Linked DNA regions of Macaca fascicularis. The protein of the gene in region 1 interacts with the protein of each later gene in a pairwise test. Links are inferred from orthologs where the notes say so. Each region holds a gene or a part of one and is shown on either strand. Other genes may lie near its edges.

Region 1 (3,960 bases):
AAGATGAAAACTTGAAGGGGACTAGCAGGAAGGTTCCAAAGACAAATGTACAACAGAATTGAACCGTTTGACATTGTTCACCATTAAACTGTTAAAAACAAATACACATATTTTAAAAACTTACCTTCGATATACAAATAAGGTCCCTTCTATATCAGTTTTCTCCTATGAAAGACAATGAGTCCATTAGTTTTTTTTCCCCATAATCAGACCCCAAACAGTCCCAATGGAGAAGTAATGCTTCACGTTTAAGATCAAATTGTTTCATTTCATTTATTATAAAATTAACCACTTTGGAACAGATAAAGTCTCCCTCTCATTCCACAAATTGTGGTTACCATTTCTAATGTATGCTTTCAGTGCTACTGATGCATACATAAGCATACGCAATGTTTAATCCAGCAACATATCTGTATCTGCAGCATTTTTCTTTTTTAATTAGTAAAGGAGAAAATCATAGAATAAACCTTCACTTTTTATAGCTAAAATGTTTTAGCCAGATTTCTTAACTTCAAGGCTAAGGTCCTGTATACTGCAATTTTTTCTCTTTTAAAGTTTATCCAAGTTAATTTTAAAAAAGGAAAGGAATGAAATTTTTTTACAGGATACTTTGTTTCATCACTGGGGAGTTTTCGTACATTTTCACAACTAGTAAATTTTGTGGTTAAGAATTCCTACCAAACAAAACCAGCTTGTTATTTTTAGAACTTGAAGAATCATGAATACTGAAAGTATACCCTGCCTCACAGTAATTATTACAGGCCTTTACCATAGGTCATTTTCTGTGACAAGAGTATTTAGGTTTTAAACACAGTTCAGTGTTTTTTAAAAAATAAATAAGCTTATTAGTCTGCAATTTACAGCCTACAATGGACCTAAATATTTTACTGTAATCAACACATTATTAACATTTTAAATGTTGGTCATATATTGAATGTGCTGGGATTAAAAAATTTAGAAAATTGATCATCTTGATTTCTTCCAGAAGTACTACCCTAGCTTAAATATCATTATTTTCCTTCCTAAGGATTCAGAGGCTTTTTCTTACCTTTAAAACGTTAGGTTATTACTATAAGAAATTGGTAATCAACTGTCTTACAGTAAAAGAAAACTTGCCCACCAGAAAACATCATGTAAAGTTACAACTCACTGTAAAAATAACAACAAAGAGAGAAAAGATTTTTGTTATGCTCTACGTGCCAGGATCCAAATAAATGGTAGCAGCTTATTTTTCAATTCAGGTTATTATAGCTTGTATTTCTTATTTAAAACAGAACTCCCCAATGTAAAATTTTAAAATATTGAAAGCCTTTGTGAAAAACTAGAAAAACTCTTTAGTAAAAAGTCCTAGCCCCAAGTCTTCACCCTTGGTCTGCAATCCATATTTCACAAATTTACATATATGCCAAGAAAAGAAAAAAGATTCATAAAATTTCAAACTAAGGCAATGTCTAAAATAGCTACATTTAAAAAACAATCTACAATTTTATTCCTTGTGGCTTCCCATACCTCCTTCTCTTCCAGGAGGCAAAGATAAACAAAGTGATTATAAAAACTCTCTTCATCTGAATTAACTGTTCATAAATGCCAAATGATTTTCGATAAATTACTAATAAAAATAATCTACGCATCTGTATTATAGGGTAAACGACATACTACAGTCATCTTCCAGAGTTGTTAGTTTAAGGATTTCACATCTTATTGAAATGAGAACTCCAGTCATTGGTGAATTCAATCCAACAAACATTTACATACTATTTTCTAAGTGTAAAGCCTGTAACCGAATGAGTTAATTAGGAAGGGTCAATTACAAGAAAGTGGGAAATTATGCTAGTTGTTTTTAAACAACTAACAAAGCTTCAAGCAGGGGCTAACAAGAATCAGTGAACAGACTGAATGTAACTTTTCGGACCCTCTCCAGTGCACGAAAGCCAGAAAGTACTGAGTCTGAGGGGAACATTCAGAGATGACATCACCAGCATCATAGGTGGAACAAAACACATTTACAGGGTCTCTCTTGTTTGTACAAAGGTCTTCGGGGATCCAGTGAACATGGAAGCCCTTTTCCTAAGTGCCTTGAAATCTTTTCCGAAACTGTGTAGTTCGATTAAAGCCAGACCCACCGCACTCCCCCTTCCAAGAATCGAAACTAATTGGATTTTAAGCTTTAAATCCAAATGACCTCTGCGAAAGGGGCTCTCATTTACGTCTGCCGGGGGAGAGAAGGAGTGTTTATTTTATAGACAATGTACATGTAATTTATCTAATAATCCGCAAAGCCTCAAACACAAGCTTTCAGGCACTCTTTTGACCCCACCGGTCTCATAACTCCCAATGTATCTGCAAAGAAGGCAGGTCGCCCACGTCCCCAGACCCGACGCCAAGGGACTGATCCTGCTCCAATCCTCCCCTCCACTGGCTTTTTCTTGGGATGTCTCGAGCCACTTCTCTCACTCCTATCCCCCAATCTCAGGTGGACCCGACACCCCTCAGGCTCTGGCTCGGCTCTTCGCCAGTCCCTGGCCCCGTCTTCACCTCCCTGGCCTCTTGCTGTGTCCCCCACCCCACAGCAACCCGCGCGGCCCCTTTAAGAGACCGCAGCGGCCGGGCGGCCGTCCTCAGAGCCAGGCGGCACTCACCCACTGGTTGGCCTTGGGGCAGAAGGTGTACAGAGCAACCTGGCCCGTGAGGTCTGCGATGCTGGTGATGTAAGGGTCGTGTTGCTTCAGGGCCGCCAGGCTCATCTCCTGCCCAGCTCGACTCAGCGCCTCCATCTTGAATCCCGGAACCTAGCCCCTCTGGCGGGGGCGGAGTCGCGGACAGGAAAGTGCCATCGAGGCAAGGTTCCCCCATCTGCGTCAGTCCCATCAACTTCCGCCTCTACGTGGGCCTCGCGGCATGGCGGTACGTTAGCCATTCTGGTCCGCCAAGCGCACGCACCGGGCGCCGGGTTCCGGCGTTGTCAGGGTCCACTGCCCTACGACGTGGGGCGGTGTCCACGGCTGCGCAGTGGAGCTTGCAGGCTGGCGTCCGGCGCTTCCCTTCCCTGAGCTAAAACGACTAGGTCCTGGGATCTAATCTCTAGCTAGCTTGCCGAGCTCTTTCCAGGCAAAGGCTGGAGACCGCCGAAGTTCCGGCTTCGCGGTTCGCTGTCTGGCAGGGCCCGGGGCCACAGAAGGAAAACACCTCTGTGGAATGTGGAAATGCAGAACTCTACTGGGCCCGTTTAGAAAGCACAGAAAAGCATGGAAGAAAGGGAGAGGCGAGAAGCCTAGAAAATTACCCTAGATCTTAGGTATGGATATATCGACCTAAAAGAAAGAAGATGGGGCAAAGTTAATGCAAGCAGAGAGTTTATTTGGGCCAAGCTTGAGGATTGCAACCCAGGAGCATAGATTCAAGTTACCCTGAATATACACTGATTAGCAGAAGGTACAAGTGGATTTTTTTTTCTTTTTCTGTATTTCTGTCCTTTTTTTTTTTTTTTTTTTTTTGAGAGGGAGTTTCGCTCTTATCGCCCAGGCTGGAGTGCAGTGGCGCGATCTCGACTCACTGCAACCTCCGCCTCGAAGATTCAAGCGATTCTCCTGTCTCAGCGTCCCGAGTAGCTGGGATTACAGGGGCACGCCACCATGCCCTGATAATTTTTGTTTTTAGTAGAGACGGGATTTCGCCATGTTGGCCAGGCTAGTCTCGAATTCCTGACCTCAGGTGATCCACCCGCCTTGGCCTTCCAAAGTGCTGAGATTACGGGCTTGAGCCACCGCGCCTGGCCCTTTTCTTTGTTACTTTTTGAAACGGAGTCTTGCTCTGTCGCGCAGGCAGGAGTGCAGTGGCGCAATCTCAAGCTCACTACAACTTCTGCCTCCAGGTTTCAAGCGATTCTCCTGCCTCAGCCTCCCATTTAGCTGGAATTACAGGCGCCCGCCACCACACCTGGCTAATTTTTTCTTTCCTTTT
Region 2 (4,056 bases), on another chromosome or scaffold:
TGGCTCACTGCAACCTCTGCCTCCCAGTTTCAAGCGATTCTCCTGCCTCAGCCTCCCTAGTAGCTGGGATTACAGGCGCGTGCCACTACAACTGGCTATTTTTGTATTTTTAGTAGAGACAGGGTTTCACCATGTTGGCCAGGCTGGTCTTGCACTCCCCACCTCAAGTGATCCGCCCACCTCGGCCTCCTAAAGTGCTGGGATTACAGGCTTGAGCCACTGCGGCCATCCTCATTTTTTAATTTTTTGTAGAGTCGGGGGCCTCCCTATGTTGCCCAGGCTGATCTTGAACTCCTGACCTCAAGCAATCCTCCCACCTCAGCCTCCCTAAGTGCTGGGTTTACAGGCGTGTAGCCACTACACCAGGCCTTTGACTATTTCTTAACCCTCGAGGCCTCAATTTCCTCCTGTGGAAAAATGAAGATGACAGTTGCCGGTGGTGTTAGCACAGCGTTGGTGTGAGGATTACATAATAAGGCTCGTACAGCTCTTAGCATGGAGCCTGGCACATAGTAAATGGTCAACAAACACAAACTGGCCGGGCTCATGCTAATTTTTAAATTAGCTTCCCAGAGGTTTGGGGGCGTCACTGTCTCAAGCCACGCAGTCCGTCCTTCCCTTAACTCAACCTCCCAAGAACGCTCCAAACTCTCAAAGTCAGATTTTCTGCACCGGCACTTTTCATTGGGCGAAAGGCAACCAGGATCCGCCCCATGTGCAGGAGGCAGCCAATGAGAGACGCGCGACCAAAACCCGGCAGGAAGGCCCCGCAGGCTCCAGCCGCGGGACCCTAAGCCTGACAAGCCCCGAGACACGTGCTCAGGCCGGCGGTCCCAAGACCGGTCCTCGGGCTGGCAGCCTCCCTCCTCACTCTCTGCGGAGCCCACTCCCCAGCTGGGGAAACTGAGGCCTCGGGGCGCTGCCGGGAGCCGGGTCTCGGGCCCCAAAGTGCGTCCCAGCCCCAAGCGCCTACCTTCTGGGCCCGGGCGTCATCTTCCGCCTGGATCTCAAACTCGCCGTCCTCCGAGTCGCTGCCGCGGGCCTGGGAGGCCGTGCCTCGGCGCTTCCGGAGCCCCTTCTTCTTCCTCCACTGGGCCATGGCAGCTCTCGACCGAGGGCCGGCCGCCGGGCGCCTGCCTGCCGCCATTCGGGCCTCGCGCTGGGAACGCAAAAGGGGGCGTGGCCTGCGGCGCGCACCAACTGCTTGGGGCGGGGAGGCGCGATGGCCATGTGACCTCGGCTGCGCTTTCGCCAGTGTCTGCGGCCCTGGGCGGCCTAGTACACCAGCCCCTGAGTGAGTGGCACCAGAGGCCCCTCGCCGTGTTTAGGTACCTCCTGGGCGTCAGGGGCGTGGCGCCCGCCCCTGGGCGGACTCCCCCCATCCCTTGGCGCGAATGGTCCGGGCCGCGTGCGCAGTGCTGCTGGCTGCTCCCTGTTTGCTGGGTGCTAGGTGCTGGGTTCTGGTTTTCTGGATGCGCGCGCCGCTCACACGTCGCCTGTGCCAGCTCCTCGGGTGAGTTGGTCCGCGCGCGGTGCCCCGGCACGGCCTGGGCTGCCGGCGGTCCGGGGCCCCGGGCATTCCGGGCTGCAAATTGACGCGGATCCCGGATGCACCGCGCTCCCCCGCGCCCTCGCCGGGGGGTCCAGATCTGGAGGGAAGAAGACGCGGGGAGGGGTCCTTGAGGACCCCGATGACTACGAACCAAGATGCTCAGGTAGGAGAAAGCTCAAAAATGCAGGGACCTCGGGCATTTTTTAATCGGGTCATTGAATTTGGGAGTCGCAGAATGTGGGGCAGTGGGGGCGGCGGTAATCTCCCGATAGCAGTGTAGCCAAGTACACAAGCTCTGGACTCAGATTTCACTTCCACCGTTTTAGCTTTATAGGTGTGACCTACACATGTGACTTCACCTCAGTTTTGTGATCTGTAAAATGGACAAATTCGAAGCTACTTCACAGTGCTGTTGAGAGGATTAAATGAAACAATGCTTGTAAAGCTCTTTGCAGGAGGTAGGCATGGAATCCACGCTGGCTGTCATTGCCCCTGCACCCATCAGTACACACAGGATATAGGAATGTGCCTGTCTCCCCTACCACCATAGTGCGTTTTCTGGTTGGTGCCTAAATGGGCACAGGTGTCATCTCTCCTTCACCCCCAGAGTCATTCTATAAATGATTGCCAGTAGCACCCCTTTCTCCACCATTTTGACAACTAAAAAAAAAAGCCAAAAAAATTTCCAAAATGCCCCCTGAAGTTGACAGCTCCCCTTTGAGATATTGGTTGAGAGAGAACTAAACCCTTGGGATGAGAACTTCAGAGACTACCAGTATTCCTCCATTAGCACTGCTGTGGCTCAGGGGTGCTACTCTGACCTCTCACAGGGAGCCTCGGAAACAGGGCCTGGCTGGCAGAGCACACCTGCTGTCACCAGGGACCACAGGCAGCATGAAGAACCCTGTGGGGCTCGCCGTCAGTGGGATGCAGACCCTCCGCCTTCAGCACCGCTGCCGGGGTGGCTACCGGGTCAAGGCCAGAACGTCGTATGTGGATGAGACTCTGTTTGGCAGCCCAGCAAGCACCCGGCCTACTCCACCAGACTTTGACCCGCCCTGGGTGGAGAAGGCTAACAGAACCAGAGACGTGGGCAAGGAGGCATCGAAGGCCTTAGGGGCAAAGGGGAGCTGTGAGACCACCCCCTCAAGGGGCAGCACCCCGACCCTCACTCCAAGGAAGAAGAACAAATACAGGTAATGGGGTAGGGAGGTACAAATCCTGTACTCAGTGCAGCCACCTGGATTCCAGTTACAGCCCTGATGTTCACCTACTCTGTGACCTTGGGCAAGCATCTTGACCTCTCTGAGCCACAGTTTACTCATGTGGAAAATAGGACCAATGATTCCTACCTAGGGGAATTGTTGATGGATTAAATGAGAGAGGGGTCTGCAGCACTTCGCACAGTAACCTAATACTTAGCTGTCAATAAATGGTAGTGTTGATGGTTGTGATGGTGGACTCCCTATCCCCAAATGTCACAAACTGGGCATCTGAGGCCCAGAGGAGTCAACTGATGCATAAGATCACAGAGAAATTTGCATAAGGTTATTAATATTAATATGATCGATCCTTGAAATGGCATAGATGTGGTGTTTCTGAAGTCATTCTGAAAATGGGTTTTGGCTCGGTGGGGTAGCTTATGCCTGTAATCCCAGCACTTTTAGAGGTTGAGGTGGGATCACTTGAGCTCAGGAGTTTGAGACCAGCCTGGGCAGTGTGGTGAAACTGTGTCTTTACAAAAAATACAAAAATTTGCCAAGTGTAGTGGTGTGCGCCTGTACTCCCAGCTACCTGGGAGGCTGAGGTAGGAGGATCGCCTGAGCCCAGGAGGCAGAGATTGTAGTGAGCCCAGATCACGCCACTGCACTCCAGCCTGAGTGACAGAGTGAGACCCTGTCTCAAAAAAAAAACAAAAAAAAAATTGAAAGTGGGTCTTGCTGCATTTTTATGAACAAGTTAGAAAAATAGGAACTAATGCAAATTGTCATTGTTGTTAATTAATTAGATTAGAATTAGATTATTTGGACTGTTTCAGATTAATATCAGCCTGGAGGGAGGTGTCTAGTGGTGAGCCACAGGACTCTATCCTGTTTATTGTTTACAGTGGTTTGGACAAAGACACAGAAGATGGCCGGGCGTGGTGGTTCACGCCTGTAATCCCAGTACTTTGGGAGGCTAAGGTGGGCAGATCACGAGGTCAGCAGATCGAGACCATCCTGGCTAACACGGTGAAACCCTGTCTCTACTGAAAATGCAAAAAAATTAGCTGGGCGTGGTGGCTGGCGCCTGTAGTCCCAGCTACTTGGGAGGCTGAGGCAGGAGAATGGCGTGAACCCGGGAGCTGGAGCTCACAGTGAGTGGAGATCGCGCCACTGCACTCCAGCCTGGGCGACAGAGCGAGACTCCATCTCAAAAAAAAAAAAAAAAAAGAAACAAGACAGAAGATTAGCACAGTAGTTGGCTAGGGCCACGATGACAAAATACCACAGACTGGGTGGCTT
Region 3 (4,019 bases), on another chromosome or scaffold:
TGGAATTAACTTTGAAAAGCTTTGCGACGTTTTCCATGTGTGGCCTTTTTTTTTTCCTTTTAATTGTTAGCACTACTGGGAGAGAGAAATCTCAAGTAGTTGTTTAATTGCATAGCTGTCAAATCCTAGTATCTTCTGTATCAGTCAGCAAACTAGTTGCCCCTTCTCAAGCCAACAGTCCTGTCACATTTTAGTTGTGACTGTTCTTTTATAATCAGAAATTTAAGAGAAGTCCAAGAGTCTTGAGTATTCTGAGTATGTTACAAGCTTCAAGTCAGTGACATTTTTAAAAAGAATATTAAGCAATCAAAACCATTTTTAAAATAAAACCAAGCCAATGGGGAAAAACAATTTTATTTAATTTTATGCTTCAAATTCATATCATGTACATTAAGTACCATATAAACTTATCTTTAGGCTATCAATATTTAACTTGGGCAGTACTTCATCTTGATTTATTTGGAGAAATACAGCTTAGGCATCTGCTAACCTGCTTAGGCATCAAAAGAGGTGCCAAATTACAAAATAGGGCATTAACAATCAAAATTTTTAAACTGACCCACATACCTTCTACTGGTTTCGCTTATGTTTAAGCATTTACTCTTAAGGTTGGCAAAACATGTTATCAATGTATTATGCAAGAGTTTACATCTTTTGCATAAATGGTCCGTTGGGTTGCACCTACCCTTGACCAAACAAAAACCAAACATCATTGGCACCATACTCAAAACTACCTGTTTTATAAGATTGTGAAACCCAAAAATCTGTAAGGTTGGAGGGACTCCAGTTAATCTTTGGGCTTAGAGGAGGAAAAAAAAAAATAGTCCCATACTGCATTTCACATCTCTTAAAAATAGTTTTAGCAGCTTAAACCTTTTTAGTTATAAAACTTACTACACTCGGATTTACTTTGAAATGTAGTTTACAATCAAGTATAACATACGTACACTGGCACTTTAGCACAAGGGCAAACTTTAAAAACAAATTATTTTGGACCTTTAAAATTAGGCCATACTATAAAAAACAGTCCACGGTCTTACATTCAGCAAATTCATACTAAAATATTCCATTTTTGTAAGATAAAGGCCAATAAAACTTTACATATGCTACAAGTTTATTACAGATATGTACATGGCTCTTTCTCCCCTAGGTACTTAAAATTTTCACATTATCCAACTCCCCAAAGCAAGCTTTGCAGGAATGATGAGGCCAGATCACTATTAGAATAGCTTGTGCAGTGCTGTAATACAAAAATGTATTTTGAAAGCTATTGAGTGACCATTAAATACTGTTTCTATAAAAAATGGTTTTGGTGTATTTGTTGACACTTAATCCACTATATTTAATAAACAGGGCCATTGGGATGTACTATGTCTCATTCTAATGAGCTCCAAATGCCCTTTCCACCCACTGTACAATTCACTAAAATGCAATTATTACAAAAAATTCACATTTTCTTTCAGCAGTGCATCAGGTTGTTAGCATATTACTGGTTTGGGTGTTTCTAATATACTAAACTTTCAGATGTTTACCTAATTCTGAATCCTTGTGTTAGCTTGAAGCTTATAATCTGATTCACCAACTTTCAACAATCTACTCCATGAATGATAAATTACTATCTTCCCCTAACAATAGAAAAAGCTGATTCCTTTACCACTCCCCAAATCTAAACTTGGTTTCCACTTAAAAGTTACTCAGTTGAGAACACTTAATATCAAATACCATTAGTTTAAGTTGCACTGATACTACCATTGTATCACAGTGCACACAAGATCGTCTATTTTTTTTACATTAATTAGCAGTTCTACACAAATAGATTAATTCCTTAGCGAATGTTTCAGACCAATTGACAACTACCCGCGAACATAATTTTAACATTTGTCTTACTTTATACCTGTACTTTAAGTAAGGTTTTAAGTTGAAATGTCATTATTTCCTTATCTGAAGGATTAAAGGAAACAGGGACCCAGTGGCTTGGTGGTTTGGGAAGAACACTTGGTGATGGTGGCTCACTAAATTTGGCACCAGCATAGTTCTGATTAGCTTGAGATTTAAAAAGCAAGCTGGGACCTGATAAGCTAGAATTCCAACTCTGATTATTTGGAAAATTTTTGTTCTTCCCCCCACTTTGCATAGCCTGCCAAGCAGCTGCTGATGAGTTATAACCATGTCCTCTTTCTTTTTTCTTATGAACAATCTTCATCTGGGAATTCTGATCCTTGGTCTTCTGTCTGTTAAGCTGTTGTTGGTTCTTACTAACATTTCTAGATTGAGGGGCTGGAATGTTATACCGCTCTCCACCACCCATCTTCAGCTTCTTTGTCACCTACAAGTGAATGGAAACAAATATTGAGTAAAATTCCATTAAGTTCAAATCTGTAAAAAGCTTCTATGGCTCCAACTTATAACTCCAGATATTTTGAACAAGACTCAGTAATAGGCTATTCAGCTGCTTTAAATTAAAAAAGCAAGCTGTTTAGACTCCAATATATGCACAACCTTTATTATTATACCGTCTCTAAGAAAAATGAGCTTACCCACAAATCAGCATAATCTATTTTAAAATAAAAACAATTGGTTTAGGATGGCTCCATCATAAAATGTTTGCCCATTATGATGATTACCTTTCAGTCTGCTTTTCAGATTGCAGGATCTCCACTACCTGTCCTCTTCCTTGCTGCCAAGCCCAAGATAACAAGTGTTGCTTTCTGACAGATCCTTTCCTTTGTCTCAATACAGAAGTTTTCATGGGCCGATCTGCTGAGTTCAGCCTAGGAGCTGAGGCCAACATCTGAGTCTCCTCAGCACACAAGTTTGAGAGAAGTCCTAGCTAGAAAAGTAAAGATTACTTCATTATTTCAAAAACACGTTGAGAAAGTGATCATTTAGATTTACTACAAAAATCGTTGACTGTAAAGAAGGCTACTTCCTGAACTAAAAGGTAGAAAATTTAAGATGGCTTTGACCTCATAACCACGATCATTTAAAAACTCTTCACCCTTGAGACCCAGTCACTCCTGGGGAATTTTTGGAAATGTCTCGAAGTCCCGCAGTAAGTTTTGTTTTTATCTTTTTCCTGGGAAAGATCTTCAGATTCTCTCACGTATAAAATCAAATAACGAGTGTTAAATGTTAAGAGTCATATCAAAAAATTGGCTTCAGGCGGATTTTCAAAAGAGACCGTGTTTTTAAACTCCCACCAGAATTTTCCAATCTTTCCACACACGTCACATCCATTTTCAGTCTCTTGGAACATGTAGACATCACGCAGTGTTTCCTTTGGTTGTGAACACCCTCGCCTCCTCCCCGTCTTAAAATAAGTTCTCACAAGCCCTAACAGTCTAAGCCCATCTTAAATCTATAAAAATGTCTCCCTAGAGGGAACAGCTCAACATTCAAGGTTTGGTTTTAATTTGATGTTCCAAGAAAATAAGTTACCAAATAGTTAAGCCCCCTCCTTTCAAAGGGGTAAGAGAGCCTTCCAAACAGATAAACCACCCTAAATAAATTGCCATTTCCGGACTGTGAGTCATTCACAACTCGAACTCGGAAAACTCGCCGCCTCCGACGCCACACAGGCTTGGCTTCCCAGTGGCCCCATCTCTCCGGAGCCGCAGGGGTCGGGGCGCTGCGACCGCCCGCGCCCGCCCGGATCTCGCCTCCGCTCGCCTCCTTCCCCCAACAATGGGGAGCGCAGCCACCAACATGGCCGCGCCCGCTGCACAGCCGCTACTTACCGACTTCAAGCTCGGAACTACGGCGGCAGTGGCTCCCTCTCGACGTCGAAGCCTCCCTCCCTTTCCAGGGAGAGACGAGGCACGGACCGACAAAGCCCACGAACACCGATGAGCGAGCTGCCGGCCACCCTAGCTTCTACAACCCAACCTCCTCCTTCTGCCTCTACCGACAAAATGGAGTCGGCGGCGACCGCAGAAGCAGGGCCGGGCGGCTCCACGGCCAATCAAAACACGACAGCGCAGGTCTGGCCAATGAGAAGCGGGCCGCCGCCTGTTGCTGGG

The links.
Region 2: the proteins of DCP1A (region 1) and RITA1 interact in binary tests that used the Homo sapiens proteins (3 or more experiments, as listed by UniProt). The two-hybrid records come from large-scale screens. The link is inferred for Macaca fascicularis from reciprocal best matches to the Homo sapiens genes DCP1A and RITA1.
Region 3: the proteins of DCP1A (region 1) and PNRC2 interact in binary tests that used the Homo sapiens proteins (3 or more experiments, as listed by UniProt). The link is inferred for Macaca fascicularis from reciprocal best matches to the Homo sapiens genes DCP1A and PNRC2.

Annotation. Positions count from the first base shown.
Region 1 is NC_088376.1:116,474,527-116,478,486, forward strand, and holds the start of DCP1A (mRNA-decapping enzyme 1A), read right to left. Parts: upstream 2,801-3,960; 5' UTR 2,775-2,800; coding exon 2,640-2,774; intron 166-2,639; coding exon 125-165; intron 1-124. UniProt on the Homo sapiens protein: Necessary for the degradation of mRNAs, both in normal mRNA turnover and in nonsense-mediated mRNA decay. Removes the 7-methyl guanine cap structure from mRNA molecules, yielding a 5'-phosphorylated mRNA fragment and 7m-GDP.
Region 2 is NC_088385.1:120,111,333-120,115,388, forward strand, and holds the start of RITA1 (RBPJ-interacting and tubulin-associated protein 1), read left to right. Parts: upstream 1-1,256; 5' UTR 1,257-1,707; coding exon 1,708-1,715; intron 1,716-1,878; exon of another isoform or gene 1,879-2,010; intron 2,011-2,382; coding exon 2,383-2,748; intron 2,749-4,056. Other genes in the region: ATP-dependent RNA helicase DDX54, read right to left, coding at 974-1,147. UniProt on the Homo sapiens protein: Tubulin-binding protein that acts as a negative regulator of Notch signaling pathway.
Region 3 is NC_088375.1:211,141,080-211,145,098, forward strand, and holds PNRC2 (proline-rich nuclear receptor coactivator 2), read right to left. Parts: upstream 2,801-4,019; 5' UTR 2,625-2,800; intron 2,327-2,624; 5' UTR 2,309-2,326; coding exon 1,889-2,308; 3' UTR 339-1,888; downstream 1-338. UniProt on the Homo sapiens protein: Involved in nonsense-mediated mRNA decay (NMD) by acting as a bridge between the mRNA decapping complex and the NMD machinery. May act by targeting the NMD machinery to the P-body and recruiting the decapping machinery to aberrant mRNAs.